Saccharomyces cerevisiae S288C: one gene and its partners. Changing the gene in region 1 together with any one later gene gives a genetic interaction. Each region holds a gene or a part of one and is shown on either strand. Other genes may lie near its edges.

Region 1 (4,610 bases):
TCTCTATCGCAATGTGTATTTTCACATTTACTTATCGTTTACAAGTAGCTTCATCCATGGTAACGGATTGGATATTTGCCAGCACTTTTTCGTAGCCTAAATCTCATTCCTCGTTCATTTCCCTCCTCAAATCGATGATAGGTTTTCCGGATTTAACATACCTTCTTTTGGTCAATAATTTCGACGATAGCGGCCAATTTACCTGCGGATTGACCCTTCTTGATCAAAACCACACGGCCAACTTCGACTAATCTCCAGTTAGAAGCCTTGACAATAGAATCGGTGGACATTGTTTATTTTATTTTTCACGACTCTCTTTGTTCACTAAGACAAACAATTAAATTTGTTATACAATCGGCAGACCTGATCAACTTAACCTTAGATTACTTTTTTTTCAGTTCAATAGTACTCGACGAGTACGAAGGGCAGTCCACTGAAAGCTCTACGCTCTCTCCGTTGCCAATTGGGCTGAGAATGGAAACACTGCGCGCTGAAGGGAAACCCGATTATGGAAAAATGCACGCAGCTGCAAGCAGCAATCTCTCGTAAACCGCTCTTTTCCGGGCGGAAAGTTAGGCCGACACCTGTTTGAAGCTTCATAAAATGCAAAATCGAAAAAAAATTGATAACGGACACTCAAAATTTGATATTTCACACATATTATGTATGTGATGTCAAGATGTAAAAATAGTGTATGGGTGTATTTGCGCTGTCAATTATTTTACTCAGAGTATAGTTACATTCTGGCAAGAATTTGCTGGTTTTGTCTTTTTTTACTTCACAACTAATGCTGGATTTTTTTATTTAAACCTAATTTCTTCAGTGAACTCCAATGTGTATTCATGTTTGATTTTAAAAGCTTCAATTTTAAAAGCTTCAATTTTAAATATCCGATGACTGTTAATCGCAGCTGCTAGTGAGATGACTGACAAAAGGTTCAGTAGAAACATAAAATATATAACAAATGTGTTGAGAATGATAGTATGATACAGTGGTATCATATTTCGTTCCTATTTGAGGTACCAGTAGTTCTTATCAAGAAGATTCAATGAGAAAGGTAACTGAATGATGATATAATTTGCGATCTAGGGCTAATCACTTGGAACACCGCCATGTTCTATATGGGTGATTAGCGAAGTGCGAAAAATTTTTTATCTGATATTTTCCTTGAACAATATTTCTAATAACACTTGCGTTGTTGCAACTGGCAGATTAACCATGTTGCTCAATATTCCTTCCTTGTATATGGGAGAACATCTTGAGGCAATGTTTAGAATTTAAAAATGTGTGCTCCCTTAAACTACGCTACTCAGAAAGGATCTTCGTGTGTACGGTAACTGACCAATGAATATTGTGCGGTAAGTATCTTATGTTTCTTGTTGCTGAATGTACGGTTCATGCAGTAAATTAGCTACTCTAGTTTTCTTGTTATTGCAAGAAGCCGCGCATTGCTACATGCAGAAAAAAAAAGAGGAAATAATATAAGGTATATCATTAAGAAGGATACTGGAAGAACTCAACAAGGAGAGAACGGTAGAAAGGTAATATATAATCATCATAGCGATGTCAAATTCTAGGTATTCTCAGACCGAATCAAACGTATGTAAATCACCGGCAACACGCATAGGTGTTTAGAATGGGACCTAGCTTGCTATATGGATGTTATAAGCTACTAACTATTGCTTCTGTACACCGGATGAGCAGATGTATCATCCCTTCATGTACATGTACTTTAAACAGAATGATAGGAAACTAGAGGGGTTAGCCAATAAATTAGCTACATTCAGAAACATAAACCAAGAGATTGGAGACCGAGCGGTCTCTGACAGTTCTGTCATAAACCAAATGACAGATTCATTGGGATCGATGTTTACCGATATCAAAAATTCGTCCTCAAGGTTAACCCGATCATTAAAGGCTGGTAATAGCATATGGAGAATGGTGGGTTTGGCGTTATTAATATTCTTCATTCTATATACCCTGTTTAAGTTATTTTAGTGAGCCAATCAAGCCAAAAATAAATAATGTACATAGATGTATTCAATTTAAGAAATAGGAAGAGAATGGAATAAGGCAGGCATGAAATTTCATTTGCCTTCTGCCGCATTCTTACCCAATCTATAACTGCCAATCGCACTACCCCAGTTAATTTTGGATCTCGTGACTGGTAATCTTCTTCTTAAGGCCTTAAACTGTTTTTCGTTCAAGTCGAAAAATGAAAGATCTAGATCATTTTCGAAATTCGTCTCAATATCCCTTATTGTGCAAACAACGTCATCAACGTTAGATTGATTGATATCCTTCCCAGATTGGAAACTAACGTTACCGTCTTCGTAATAGTGGACTTGCGTAGAGATTTGACCGGATAACTCCCTGGTCTCCAAATCGTAGATGTAGCTTGATCTCCAATGGCCGTTCCAGAAATTGTTTGGATTATATTTGGTGCTAACAATAATAATAGAAATTTTACTTATTTCCTCAGGGACTGGGTAAACAGCAAAACTGACATCACCTGGAAAGCTCTGAAGAAGATATTCGTGCAATTTATCGTGCAGTTCTTTCAATTGCCCTTTCTCTATCTTTGCATGCGTGAACTCATATGGTTCAATGTCAAGGCCCTTGCGCTCTAAATGGTTAACTGAAAATATTACGGAATTTACGGGATCAAAAAACTTTGCTCCTTCCTTGTTGTATTTGGAAATAATTACAGAGTTCCCGTTGACTTCTATAGGGATGCAATTCTGCACGTTGTAATTCTCAATAGCATCCAAAATAGTATTTTTGGAGTTTTCACTTGTGATCTTGATTAGATCGTCGTATACTTCCCTTAATTCTCCTGGAGGGCTGTCATTGATGATCTTGTTGATGACCTCTTCGAATTTACTACTAGACATTTTCTGTCGCTCTTATGATCCGTTGGATTAACGGTCTGAATAGTACCTTACAGTTGCTAACACCTTCCTATACTCAAATCCAGTACTAGCCACTGTAAAATCAGTATTCCAATAGGAAGAAAAAGGGGATCATAACCCGGCTATCGTATCACATGATAGTCACGTGCAGTGATTATCACGTGATCCGAACTGTTGTGAAAAAACGCGACGCGAAAAAAAAAATGCTGGGCTTCAACAGGAAAAAGACCAGGAATGAAAAATAGTTGGAAAGGAAACAACTGTCTTTTCCGGTCATTCCAACAAAGTTGCTAGATCCGCGGAACCATTTTCGTCATTTTTTTTTTTTCACTCTTTTTTCTCATATCGGTGGGCATTGTACCTGATCATGCTAGACAAATAACGTGGGAGGAGGGAGAAAGTATTGGAATCTAGACAAAGATTTTTAAGTTATTTTTCTATTGTTTCCCTCCTTGGCTTGTTGCATCCCGTTTTGTTTTATTTACTTGCTTTTTTTTTTTCTTATTTATTTATTTATTTATTTATTGTTATTTGGCTATTGTATTCCGTGAACCCGTTTTTCTGCTACATCGGCTTTATAATCCGGACCTGATTTAAGTTAAAACTACAGTTTCTTGTTCGTTACCGTTTTTCTGTTCCATACAGATATTTTTGTCGGTTGATCGCTATTGTTTTTATTATTCATACCTCCGGTAAACATTTAGATAGACACAGTATCAATAAACAAGAGCTATGTCGACAATAAAGCCAAGCCCTTCAAACAACAATTTGAAAGTGAGGTCAAGACCAAGACGCAAGTCTTCCATAGGTAAGATCGACCTCGGGGACACTGTACCTAGTTTAGGTACTATGTTCGAGACAAAAGAATCTAAAACGGCTGCTAAAAGGCGTATGCAGAGATTATCTGAAGCCACCAAAAATGATAGCGACCTGGTCAAGAAAATCTGGTTTTCATTCCGAGAGATAAGTTACCGTCATGCCTGGATAGCTCCCTTGATGATTTTAATCGCGGTATATAGTGCCTATTTCACTTCTGGTAACACTACAAAGACAAATGTGTTACATAGATTTGTCGCTGTGTCATACCAAATAGGTGATACCAACGCATATGGTAAAGGTATTAACGATTTGTGCTTTGTATTTTACTATATGATTTTTTTCACATTCTTACGTGAATTCCTAATGGATGTTGTCATTAGACCGTTCGCTATTAGGTTACACGTCACTTCTAAGCACAGAATAAAAAGAATCATGGAACAAATGTACGCTATTTTCTACACCGGTGTTTCCGGTCCTTTCGGGATATATTGTATGTACCATTCGGATTTATGGTTTTTCAACACAAAGGCAATGTACAGAACATATCCAGATTTCACTAATCCCTTCTTATTCAAGGTATTCTATTTGGGTCAAGCTGCATTTTGGGCTCAACAAGCCTGCATTCTTGTATTGCAACTAGAAAAGCCAAGAAAAGATCATAACGAGTTGACTTTCCATCATATTGTTACTTTACTATTGATTTGGTCTTCCTACGTATTTCATTTCACTAAAATGGGACTGCCAATCTATATCACAATGGATGTTTCTGATTTTCTTTTGTCATTCTCCAAAACTCTAAATTATTTGGACTCTGGATTGGCTTTTTTTTCTTTTGCTATCTTTGTTGTTGCGTGGATTTATTTGCGTCATTACATAAAT
Region 2 (5,689 bases), on another chromosome or scaffold:
CTTCATCTGCCATCGCCTTTCTATGTTTTCCGTATTTCTTCCCCGCAAGTTCTTTAAACTCAGATAGTATTAGAATCGATAATTAAGGCCAGGTCAAAGTTCGTATTAATTTCAACCTTTGGGCACCTATATTGGATTAATTTCCGTAAGATAATATATGAGAGCACTATCATGGAGTGATGAAGAAAAATTCAAACTCTAGGGGCAAACCGTTTGTTACGATTGCTCAAAAATTACTGCGTCTGAAGCCAGAATTGTAGGTATATACGAAAAGGTACAACTTGGGATACTATTGACGGCGGTAAGATAAGTGAATCCTACCTTTCGTTTTGAGCCGCTCAAATAAGACCTGATACAAAAACGGTTGTTTAATCTTTGTATAGTTTCTTCTGTAGAAGAGTTATGAAAATATACACTTAAACTATAACGATAAGAAAATGCGAAAGGAAAATGATGAAATCGAAAGCATTCACAATTTCCCCTTGGAAGCATTGGGTAAATTACCAACCTACGTATCCTCTCGCAACAATTCTGAAAACCTTTAACTTCCCACTTTTCATATGGCTTAGCTTGTAGCTGTTTTGAATAATCTTTCCCTCGTGATTTTCGATAACTCTAAACTTATTCTTTGTAAAATCATAATCAGTAACAACACTCGAATACGGAGCGGCGGAGTCCATTCCAACGTTGATAATTTCGTTTTTTCCGATCTTTTTATGAGCTTCAAATTTGGCCTTTCTAATTACAAGAATGTCACCTGGTTTAATCTTCTGTAAGCTCTTCATCAACTGTTCGATTCCTTCTTCAGGTTTATAACTCAATATAGTTGCGCCAAACGTTCTTGCTCCTATGGGTTGTATAACTTCGTCTTTGAATTCGGATACAATTTGTGACACGAAATTCTTAGCCCCAATATGTGAATTTATCAATGAATGAGATTTCTCTACAACTTTCGCATTAAACCTTTGAGCGTATTCATCAAGAATACGTGCTGATTGTGTTTCGACTGGCGATGGAAAGCGTTCTTGAAGAGTCGTTACCGTTTTCTCTGGGCTTGTACTATTAAAGGTCAAGGAGAATCTTAGTTGCGAATAGTTTTCAAACAAGAAGTAAAAATCCCTTACCACCCATTTTTGATGTAATCTTTTGGAAATGAAATGATCATCGATCTCCATCAAAAAGTTCAACTTCAGATTGCTTATAGCAGGAGGTGCGCTTTTATTAATCCACCATCTTTCTTGTGCATTAAACTCTATCTTGACGTTGTTGGAAATCTCGCCTACATCATGCGTCGTTGACCTTCTTATAGAGGCCACCTTCGGTGTAGTATCTGACTCATGGAATGAATCCACAGGACGATTCGTCAATGAAGGCACATGGGGCGGTAGGGTTCGTGATTCTTTTTCTGCCCCAGATAGTACTGAGGTTGGCACACGTTGTTGCGTACTCATCATTGAAGGTGTAGAGGCCGTGACATTTTGATGTGGTGGAGGAGAAGGAGCTGTATGTGAATGAGTGGCTGTTGGTTCAGAGTCAAATTCAAAAGTAGCCGGTGGTACTGGTGGTGCACGTGGAAGTGGCGGAGCAGTATTTGGCATAGGATGATATTCCTCGGATACAGGTGGAAGGGGAGCAGATGACTTGACATGTTCTTCTACTTCATTGTGTTTAGGCAGCGCAAGAGGCGCTGGAGGTGCTGGAGGTGCTGGAGGTGTTGGAGGTACTGGAGGTATTGAAGGTGCTGAGAGTGCTGGAGGTGCTGAAGATACTGGAGGTACTGGGGGTACTGGGGGTACTGAAGGTGCAGAGAGTGCTGGAGGTGCTGGAGGTACTGGAGGTGCAGAGGGTACTGAAGGTGCAGAGGGTACTGGAGGTGCAGAGGGTGCAGAAGGCACTGGGTGAGGTGGCACCTTGTCCTCAGGATGTGACACCTTACTTAGAACTGGAGCTGCTGGAGCTGCCATCGAAATATCTTGAGCGGTTTCTGTTAATGCAGATGAATTAGTGGAAACTGTATCATGATACTCGTTTATGGATTTCCGCCGATTTTCCCCTGAAATGGATTTAGTCAAAGAATTTATCGACCCGTTGCGAGCAACTCTTGTTTGTGGGGAAGAGACAGGCAAAACATTTCCAGTTGTGTTTTGTGATGAATTTTCAATATCATGTGATACTTCTGCAGTACGGTGGGAGATTGGTGGTTCTTGAGGGTAAATTTTTTCTCCGGAATTAACATTCTCTGACTCATTATTACCTATCTGAAAAGCTTGCTCCACCATCGAATGCTTTCTCAACCCATCGTTTGCATCCTCAAACTCGTGGTCGTCAGTATCTTCATCAGAATCATGGTCAGAGTATTCGGGATGTGCATTATCAACAGCAGCTAAATTGTGATAGGCGTGTGTACCATGTTCTTGCTTCTGTTCATGCTCTGTGGTTGCATGAGGATCTAGCGTCTTTGTTTCAGTGGGTTGATTCTTCTCACTTAGATTTGATTTCCTAAAAAATGGGTTAGAACTTGGGTCAACAAATGGCATAACAGGTATGGCACGAGGTAGTTCTTGGAGCTGTTCAGGTTCCTCCTCCTCCTTCTCCTTATGCTGTTTCTTTTTCGGCTCTTCTGATGGTTTATTTCCAACTCCAGAAGCCATACCGAAGGGGTTAAAACCAACAGGAGCACCGAATCTACTAGCGCCAGATAGTTTAGCCATTCTTTCTCTCAATGCGGCCCTACGATTCTCTTCACTATCTTCCTCTTCTTTTTCCTCATCATTATCTCCCTCTCTGTCTTCATGGCCGTAACCTATTTCGCTTTCCTCAGCAACATTTTCTCCTCTTGCCTCGTCTGCTTGTGACTCCTCAACTTTCTGATTTTCCTTTGTGTACTCATCTAAAAATTGTTCTTTCTCTATGTCATTCGTGCCTTCATCTGCTTCGCGTGAGGTTTTAGTAATCTCTTTATGTGCCAATAATTCCATTTGCGGTTCCTCGTTGTGCTCAGTTTCAGGCGTAAATTCAGGTTTCGGTTCAGTTTTTTCATTTTCTTCTGCTTCTTCAGTTTCCGTATAGGGCTCATTCTTGTTAACCGCACTACGTTCATGTTCTTGTTCGAGCTTAGCCTTTTTTCTCAAGAGTTCTTCTTCTCTTGCAGCCTGTAATCTTTGTTGCTCCTGTAAAAGAGCAATTCTTTCTTTAAGGCTCATCTGGGGCAAATCCTTCTTTAATTGGTCATTCTCAGTTTCTATTCTTCCACTTTCCACCTGTGCACGATTAATTGGTTCGGGAACAATCTTTTTTTCGTTTTCCTTTAGGGACTTTTTCCTTTCAAGATTGGACGTATCATTTGTTGGAATTCCAGGGGGGACATAGTATTTAGGAGCATCTGCCACAATTGTTTTTTTCACAGGTATGTTTTCTAAATCCAAGTGAGTTGATTTTGGTAAAGGAACTTGCTCCGTTATATCTTGATTAAACATAGATAAGCGAGCCTTCAATTTTGGAGAATCCATGGGAACTTTTCTTTCGCCATTACCACTACTACTATCATGCTGGACCTGTGCTGATACTGCTGTAGCGGCTGGAACTGGCACTGTAGCGGCTGGAACTGGCACTGTAGCGGCTGGAACTGGCACTGGCCCGGACAGAGTTTCTTTCTTCGTTTCAGGGGAAATGGGCTCTGGTAGGTCCTTTTGTTCTACTTCCGGCTGGATTGTACGTTGCTCAGTGGAACCGGTATTCGGAGATGATTCGGCTTCCTTTCCAACTTCAGATCCCTGAACAGCAACAAAACTTTTCGGGAAGATACCCTCAATAACGTCGCCATTTGAATCCTGGTATTCACCAAAGTACCATTCGGCGTCTTCAACAGACGTAACAATAATCTCTTGATCTTTTTCAAAATTTAAATCGTCCTCGTAATCGGACTTGTATGGGAACTGAGCCACCACCTTGAAGGGCACTTCGGGTTCACTCATCCTTAGTTTGGGTAAGACTGTGTTTACTTCTAGTAGCTCTTGCAGTTGGGACGCGATTGATGTTTACTACCGACTTGACGCTACTGTTTCACAGTGTGCTAGTAAATACCACTTCTAGTTGAAGTCTTAAGGAGATTATAATTCTGGAGGTAAAATAGGGGCATTGTAGACCTCTAACTATTTTCAGGGTATATTCCTATATTATATAGGTTTATTCTTAAAATATGAGGTTTATAAATGATACACATCACTTATTGATAGGGTTATACTCTTTGATACGGGTAACATATGAGACGCGAAAATGGAATATAATGACAATGTAAATATCGTCATCTTGAGATAATTATCAACAAGGTTGTCATGAGGAGTTACAGATAAAAGTCAACAGAGTGGAGTTAGTGGTGTTTTAACTGTAGTGCTCCATAGTTTCACGGCGGTTTCTCTTGTTTTCAGTTGGTAGTAACTTTTATCCTGGAAGTGCTGGAAATGAATAACTCAAATGAGCATAGGCGGGAAGAGGCAGGAGCGGCTAATGAACAAATGCCTTACAATAAGGCTGTAAAGTCCGCGTATGCAGATGTCCTCAAGGACAAAATGAATAGGGAACAGGAGATTAGCCTACGAGCCATCAAAAAAGGGATATACACCGATGGCGGTGAAACTGACAACTATGATATGGATAAAGAGAATGATTCCGCGTACGAAATGTTCAAAAAAAATCTTGATTTTCCGTTAGACCAACATAATGATGACGACGATGATGATCCGTACATTGAGGATAATGGACAAGAGACCGACGGATATAGCGACGAGGACTATACAGATGAGGCAGACAAGAGTTTTATAGAAGACAGCGATTCCGACAGCTACGATTTGGAAAGTAATTCTGACTTTGAAGAGAACTTGGAAAGTTCAGGTGAAGCTAAGAAGTTGAAGTGGCGGACGTACATTTTCTATGGAGGCCTTTTCTTCGTTTTTTATTTTTTTGGATCTTTTTTGATGACAACCGTGAAAAATAATGATTTAGAAAGCCATTCATCCGGCGCTACATCCTCTCCAGGCAAATCATTCAGCAACCTACAAAAACAGGTGAATCATTTATATAGTGAGTTGAGTAAGCGGGACGAAAAGCACAGTTCAGAATTGGATAAAACAGTAAAAATCATTGTCTCTCAATTTGAAAAGAATATTAAAAGACTTTTACCCTCAAATTTGGTTAATTTTGAAAATGACATTAACTCGCTGACAAAACAGGTTGAGACAATTTCAACTTCCATGAGTGAGTTACAGAGGCGAAATCACAAATTTACGGTCGAGAATGTTACTCAATGGCAAGATCAACTGGTAAAACAGTTGGATACACACCTCCCTCAAGAAATACCCGTTGTAATTAATAATTCTTCGTCGCTTTTAATAATCCCTGAATTGCACAATTATTTGAGTGCTTTGATTTCAGACGTTATTGAGTCTCCAGGCATTGGTACTGCTGGAAGCGCTGAAAGTCGTTGGGAGTATGATTTGAATCGCTATGTAAAGGAAATTCTTTCGAATGAGTTGCAATATATCGATAAGGATTATTTCATCCAAGAAATGAACAGAAGGTTGCAATCTAACAAACAGGAGATTTGGGAAGAGATCACAAATAGGTTAGAGACACAGCAGCAGCAGCAGCAGCAGCAGGTTCAACAGGATTATTCTAACGTGCCACAGCAGTA
Region 3 (3,951 bases), on another chromosome or scaffold:
GTGCCTCCTTTTGTTTCTTCCGCTTTTATTTATCTGTTCCTCCTCATCACTTATTTCTTCTTCATTCACTCCCTCATTGGCTTCTTCTTCTCTGTAATCATCATCTTCATTCTCATCATTTTCATCAATATCTAAATCCTCAGTATCAATTGCATAATTGGGTCTGTTGCTAGTAGATCTTGACCGCTTCTCATGTTCAACTTCGGAAGCTAGACCTCCCTCTGAATCTGACATTTCTGCTAGATGGTATTTCCTTCTTCAAAAGTAAATGTACTGTATTCAGTAATGCTTAAACTTTATAAAGCTGTTTTCTTGCAATATTTTTGTCTGCTCACAGTAACATGTTTAATAGTTCGAACGGGTTTTTTTTTAAAAGAGCGAAGTAATCAAAGCATTCGGGTAATAATTACAAGTTTATATGGACTGTGGTAAAAACAGTGTAAAACTTTTTTATATCTATTTTTCTAAGGTTACGTAATTGTTTACTTTATATTCTTATCTCACTCGAGGACAACATTCCACCTTTTAATGCAAGCGTCCGCACCAGAACTAACCAAGGTAGATGGTGTTTCCCATAAAAGGTTGTTAACACCGTCCTTGTGAGCATTCAACGCCTTAATGATTTTCATAGGTCTTTTGACGGAGTAAATAAAAATATTGGTGTCTAAAGAACCAGTGGCAACTAAGTCCTCTTCAATTTCCTCTTCGTTTGCTCCCTTTTCAGCAGGTTTCCATGAAATGGCGTTGATTTTACTGGTGTGGAAAGCCCATCTTGAAGTTTTCACTTCTCTTGATTGTAAATCATATAGCAATATCTTGCCCATAACATCTCCAGCAGCGATGTATGTTTCAGATGGCGAAATTGATATGTACGAGGGTTTTGCGCGAAGAGGTGTTTTTAAATCAAAACTGACTTCCAAATCTGATAATTTGAATACCTGAATAGTATTACCTTCTTCCAAACCAACTGCAACGTAATTTTGGCTCAAGCTAACGGCAGAGCCTGGTGAGTTCAGTCTTACACTCTTGATTATATCGCCCGTAAAAGACTGTAATATCAACAAATCATCATCATTTGTTAGTACTGCAGTGAAGCCATCATTGTTCGCACTAGCAACCTTTGGTTGCGATCCAAATTCATGCTTAGTAATACCGTTCACTTTCAAAGTATCATCCCAAGAAATACTGGAGTATTCTTGCGCTTTACTATTATCCAATGATACAATCAAGTTGGAGTGATCTTGGTGCATGGAAGAGCTAGACCATTCCATAATCCTACCATCATATGACCCACTGATTAGTGGGTTGACTGTCAAAGCAGTAATACCCTTGTTATGACCACTAATGGTTTTTAAAACCTCGTCATGTCCAAGTTCATAGAAGTTTAAGGTCCCATCCAGTGAAAGAGAAATAATCCTTCCGTTTCCTGTTGCAACAACACCAACTTGTTGATTTCCCAGTTGTTGCTTGTCTAAGGTCCATTTTTGAACGCATTTTGAAGTCGTGACGTCCCAAACCCTAATGGTAGCGTCTGCTCCTACGGTAGCAAACTTTTGGGAATCAAGCCACGATAGTGCAAATATACCACCTTGAACTGGTTCTTGATCATCCTCTATGTATTTAAGAAACTCACCTGATTTGCCATCAAAGCAAGAAATCTTTCTGTCAGACCCTACCGTAATAACAAATTCACCGCTGTCAGGTGAAAATTCAACATCCCTGACAAATGAGCCTTGTTTGTGGTGTGTTCTGTCACTGGCAGAGAACTTAAATGGAGGTCCTTGATAAAAGACAACAGATCCATCATCTCCAACTGTCATAGATCTCATAGGTCTAGATTGCTTCAAATGACAAGCATTGATGCGTTGTGAGTGACCTGAAACTTCACCTAAGGAATTACCAGAATCCCAGGATATGAAAACACCAAAGTTATCACGACCTTCTCCCACAACGCAGAGTCTTCGCCCTTCAAAATCCCAGGAGATATCGCTGATTGGACCTGCTAAAACTTGGAATTCAGACTTAACATTCACTTCAACAGAATTGCTTTCTTTGTCAAATGTCCATCCCCAAACAATCACTTTTCCAGATTCGTCACCGGAGCATAGGTACTGGGAACCCTTAATTGGAGAGAACTTTACCGTTGTGACTACCGAAGAGCCATGACCAGTAAATTGTACTACTGGAGGTACTTTACTGTCTCCATCGTCCAAACAACGTACAAATGCAGATTTTCCACATGGGTAAGCAATTGCGTTGGTTGTAGGGTCATACGATAAATGCGTAGTAAAGTTACGCTGTGTCGAAGGCTGAGGTGGTATAATTTCCTTCAAAGAGATAGATGACATTATTTTTGTTTACTTTGCTACTTTTGCCCGTTAATATACCTTAAAAACTGTATTTGCGAGTTGCAAAAGGCAGAATAGTGCTGAGTTGCTTCCCCTTATAATTAAATAATGATCATTAATCAAAGATCTGACATATATGCCTTCGGTAGAAAAGGTGGCAGGTTACAGGGTGAAAACATCCGTACATCATATACAATTCATTGTTTCGAAAACAAACGAACGGGACACTAGAGACCAATAAAAACGTTTCAGAACGTCTTGGTAGCGTTCAGTTCTGATTATGAACGGAAAGCAATAGCTAGTATTGATACACCTCCAGTTTCTAGTCATTCACCCCAAGTAAGCATAATATTTAACGTTCTGTGACCTACATACCTCGTAATTAGTGATAATTATCTTTTGAAAATTTTTGGAATAACTGAAAAATTTTGAAAACTTTCGAGCTTTGAAGAAAAAACGATGCCCATCACTAATAGAAGTCCCTTGAAACAGTTTTTGCTAAGAACAGGCCTAAGGATCATAATATAGAAATAAAATGTCGACTGCTAGGCCTAGAATAATCACTTCGAAGGCTCCATTATTGCCTCAACAGACTACCCCGGAGCAGCGTTACTGGCGTCAATACACTTCCGCACAACTGGTTAAAGAACATAATAGCGTTACTCACATATCATTCAATCCTCAACATCCTCATGATTTTGCAGTAACTTCCTCAACCAGAGTTCAAATATTTTCTTCAAGAACTAGGCAAGTGATCAAGACCTTTTCAAGATTTAAAGATGTTGTCTATTCTGCATCCTTTAGGAGTGATGGTAAATTGCTTTGTGCCGGTGATGCTACCGGTTTAGTGTCTGTATACGACAGTTATAATCCCAGGACTATCCTTTTATCTATAAACGCTTCCACACATCCCACACATGTTACGAAATTCCATACGCAAGATAACAAAATTCTGGCTACGGCGAGTGACGATAGAGTGACAAGACTTTGGGATATATCCAACGCATATGAGCCACAATTAGAGCTCACCGGAGCTACTGACTATGTTCGTACCTTATCATTTATCCCAGCAGCCCCACATTTGGTTGCAACAGGCTCATACGACGGTTTGATCAGATTATATGACACAAGATCTAGCGGATCCACGCCAATTTATTCTCTGAATCATGACCAACCTGTTGAAAATGTTATTGCAGTATCTCCAACCCAAATTGTTTCTTGCGGTGGCAATAATTTCAAAGTGTGGGACTTGACCAGTAACAAGAAATTATACGAACGTGGCAATTTCAATAAGGCTGTGACATGCTTGGACTATGTTGAAAATTTTGATTCTCCAATGCAATCGGCGTTGATCGCTTCTTCCTTAGATGGTCATGTCAAAGTCTTTGATCCTTTAGACAATTTCCAAGTCAAATTTGGCTGGAAATTTTCGGGTCCCGTACTAAGTTGTGCTGTCTCCCCTAGTACCGCACAAGGGAATAGGCATTTAGTAGCAGGTTTATCATCAGGACTACTAGCCATTAGAACTAAAAAGAAAGAGAAACGTTCTTCCGATAAAGAAAACGCACCCGCCAGTTTTAATAAGAATGCGAAAAGTAATAAC

The links. Genes that interact genetically often act in the same process or in processes that back each other up.
Region 2: mutations in CAP1 (region 1) and BBC1 together harm fitness more than expected from each alone (negative genetic interaction), as found in Saccharomyces cerevisiae (4 studies listed by BioGRID, with this or other methods).
Region 3: mutations in CAP1 (region 1) and AIP1 together harm fitness more than expected from each alone (negative genetic interaction), as found in Saccharomyces cerevisiae (5 studies listed by BioGRID, with this or other methods).

Annotation. Positions count from the first base shown.
Region 1 is NC_001143.9:427,586-432,195, reverse strand, and holds CAP1 (Cap1p), read right to left. Parts: upstream 2,895-4,610; coding exon 2,088-2,894; downstream 1-2,087. Other genes in the region: 60S ribosomal protein eL14 RPL14A, read right to left, coding at 162-290; SFT1 (Sft1p), read left to right, coding at 1,564-1,599, 1,741-1,998; sphingosine N-acyltransferase LAC1, read left to right, coding at 3,645-4,610. UniProt on the Saccharomyces cerevisiae protein: F-actin-capping proteins bind in a Ca(2+)-independent manner to the fast growing ends of actin filaments (barbed end) thereby blocking the exchange of subunits at these ends.
Region 2 is NC_001142.9:398,437-404,125, forward strand, and holds BBC1 (Bbc1p), read right to left. Parts: upstream 3,975-5,689; coding exon 501-3,974; downstream 1-500. Other genes in the region: MPS3 (Mps3p), read left to right, coding at 4,461-5,689. UniProt on the Saccharomyces cerevisiae protein: Involved in the regulation of actin cytoskeleton.
Region 3 is NC_001145.3:451,132-455,082, forward strand, and holds AIP1 (Aip1p), read right to left. Parts: upstream 2,349-3,951; coding exon 501-2,348; downstream 1-500. Other genes in the region: NPL6 (Npl6p), read right to left, coding at 1-234; snoRNA-binding rRNA-processing protein UTP15, read left to right, coding at 2,884-3,951.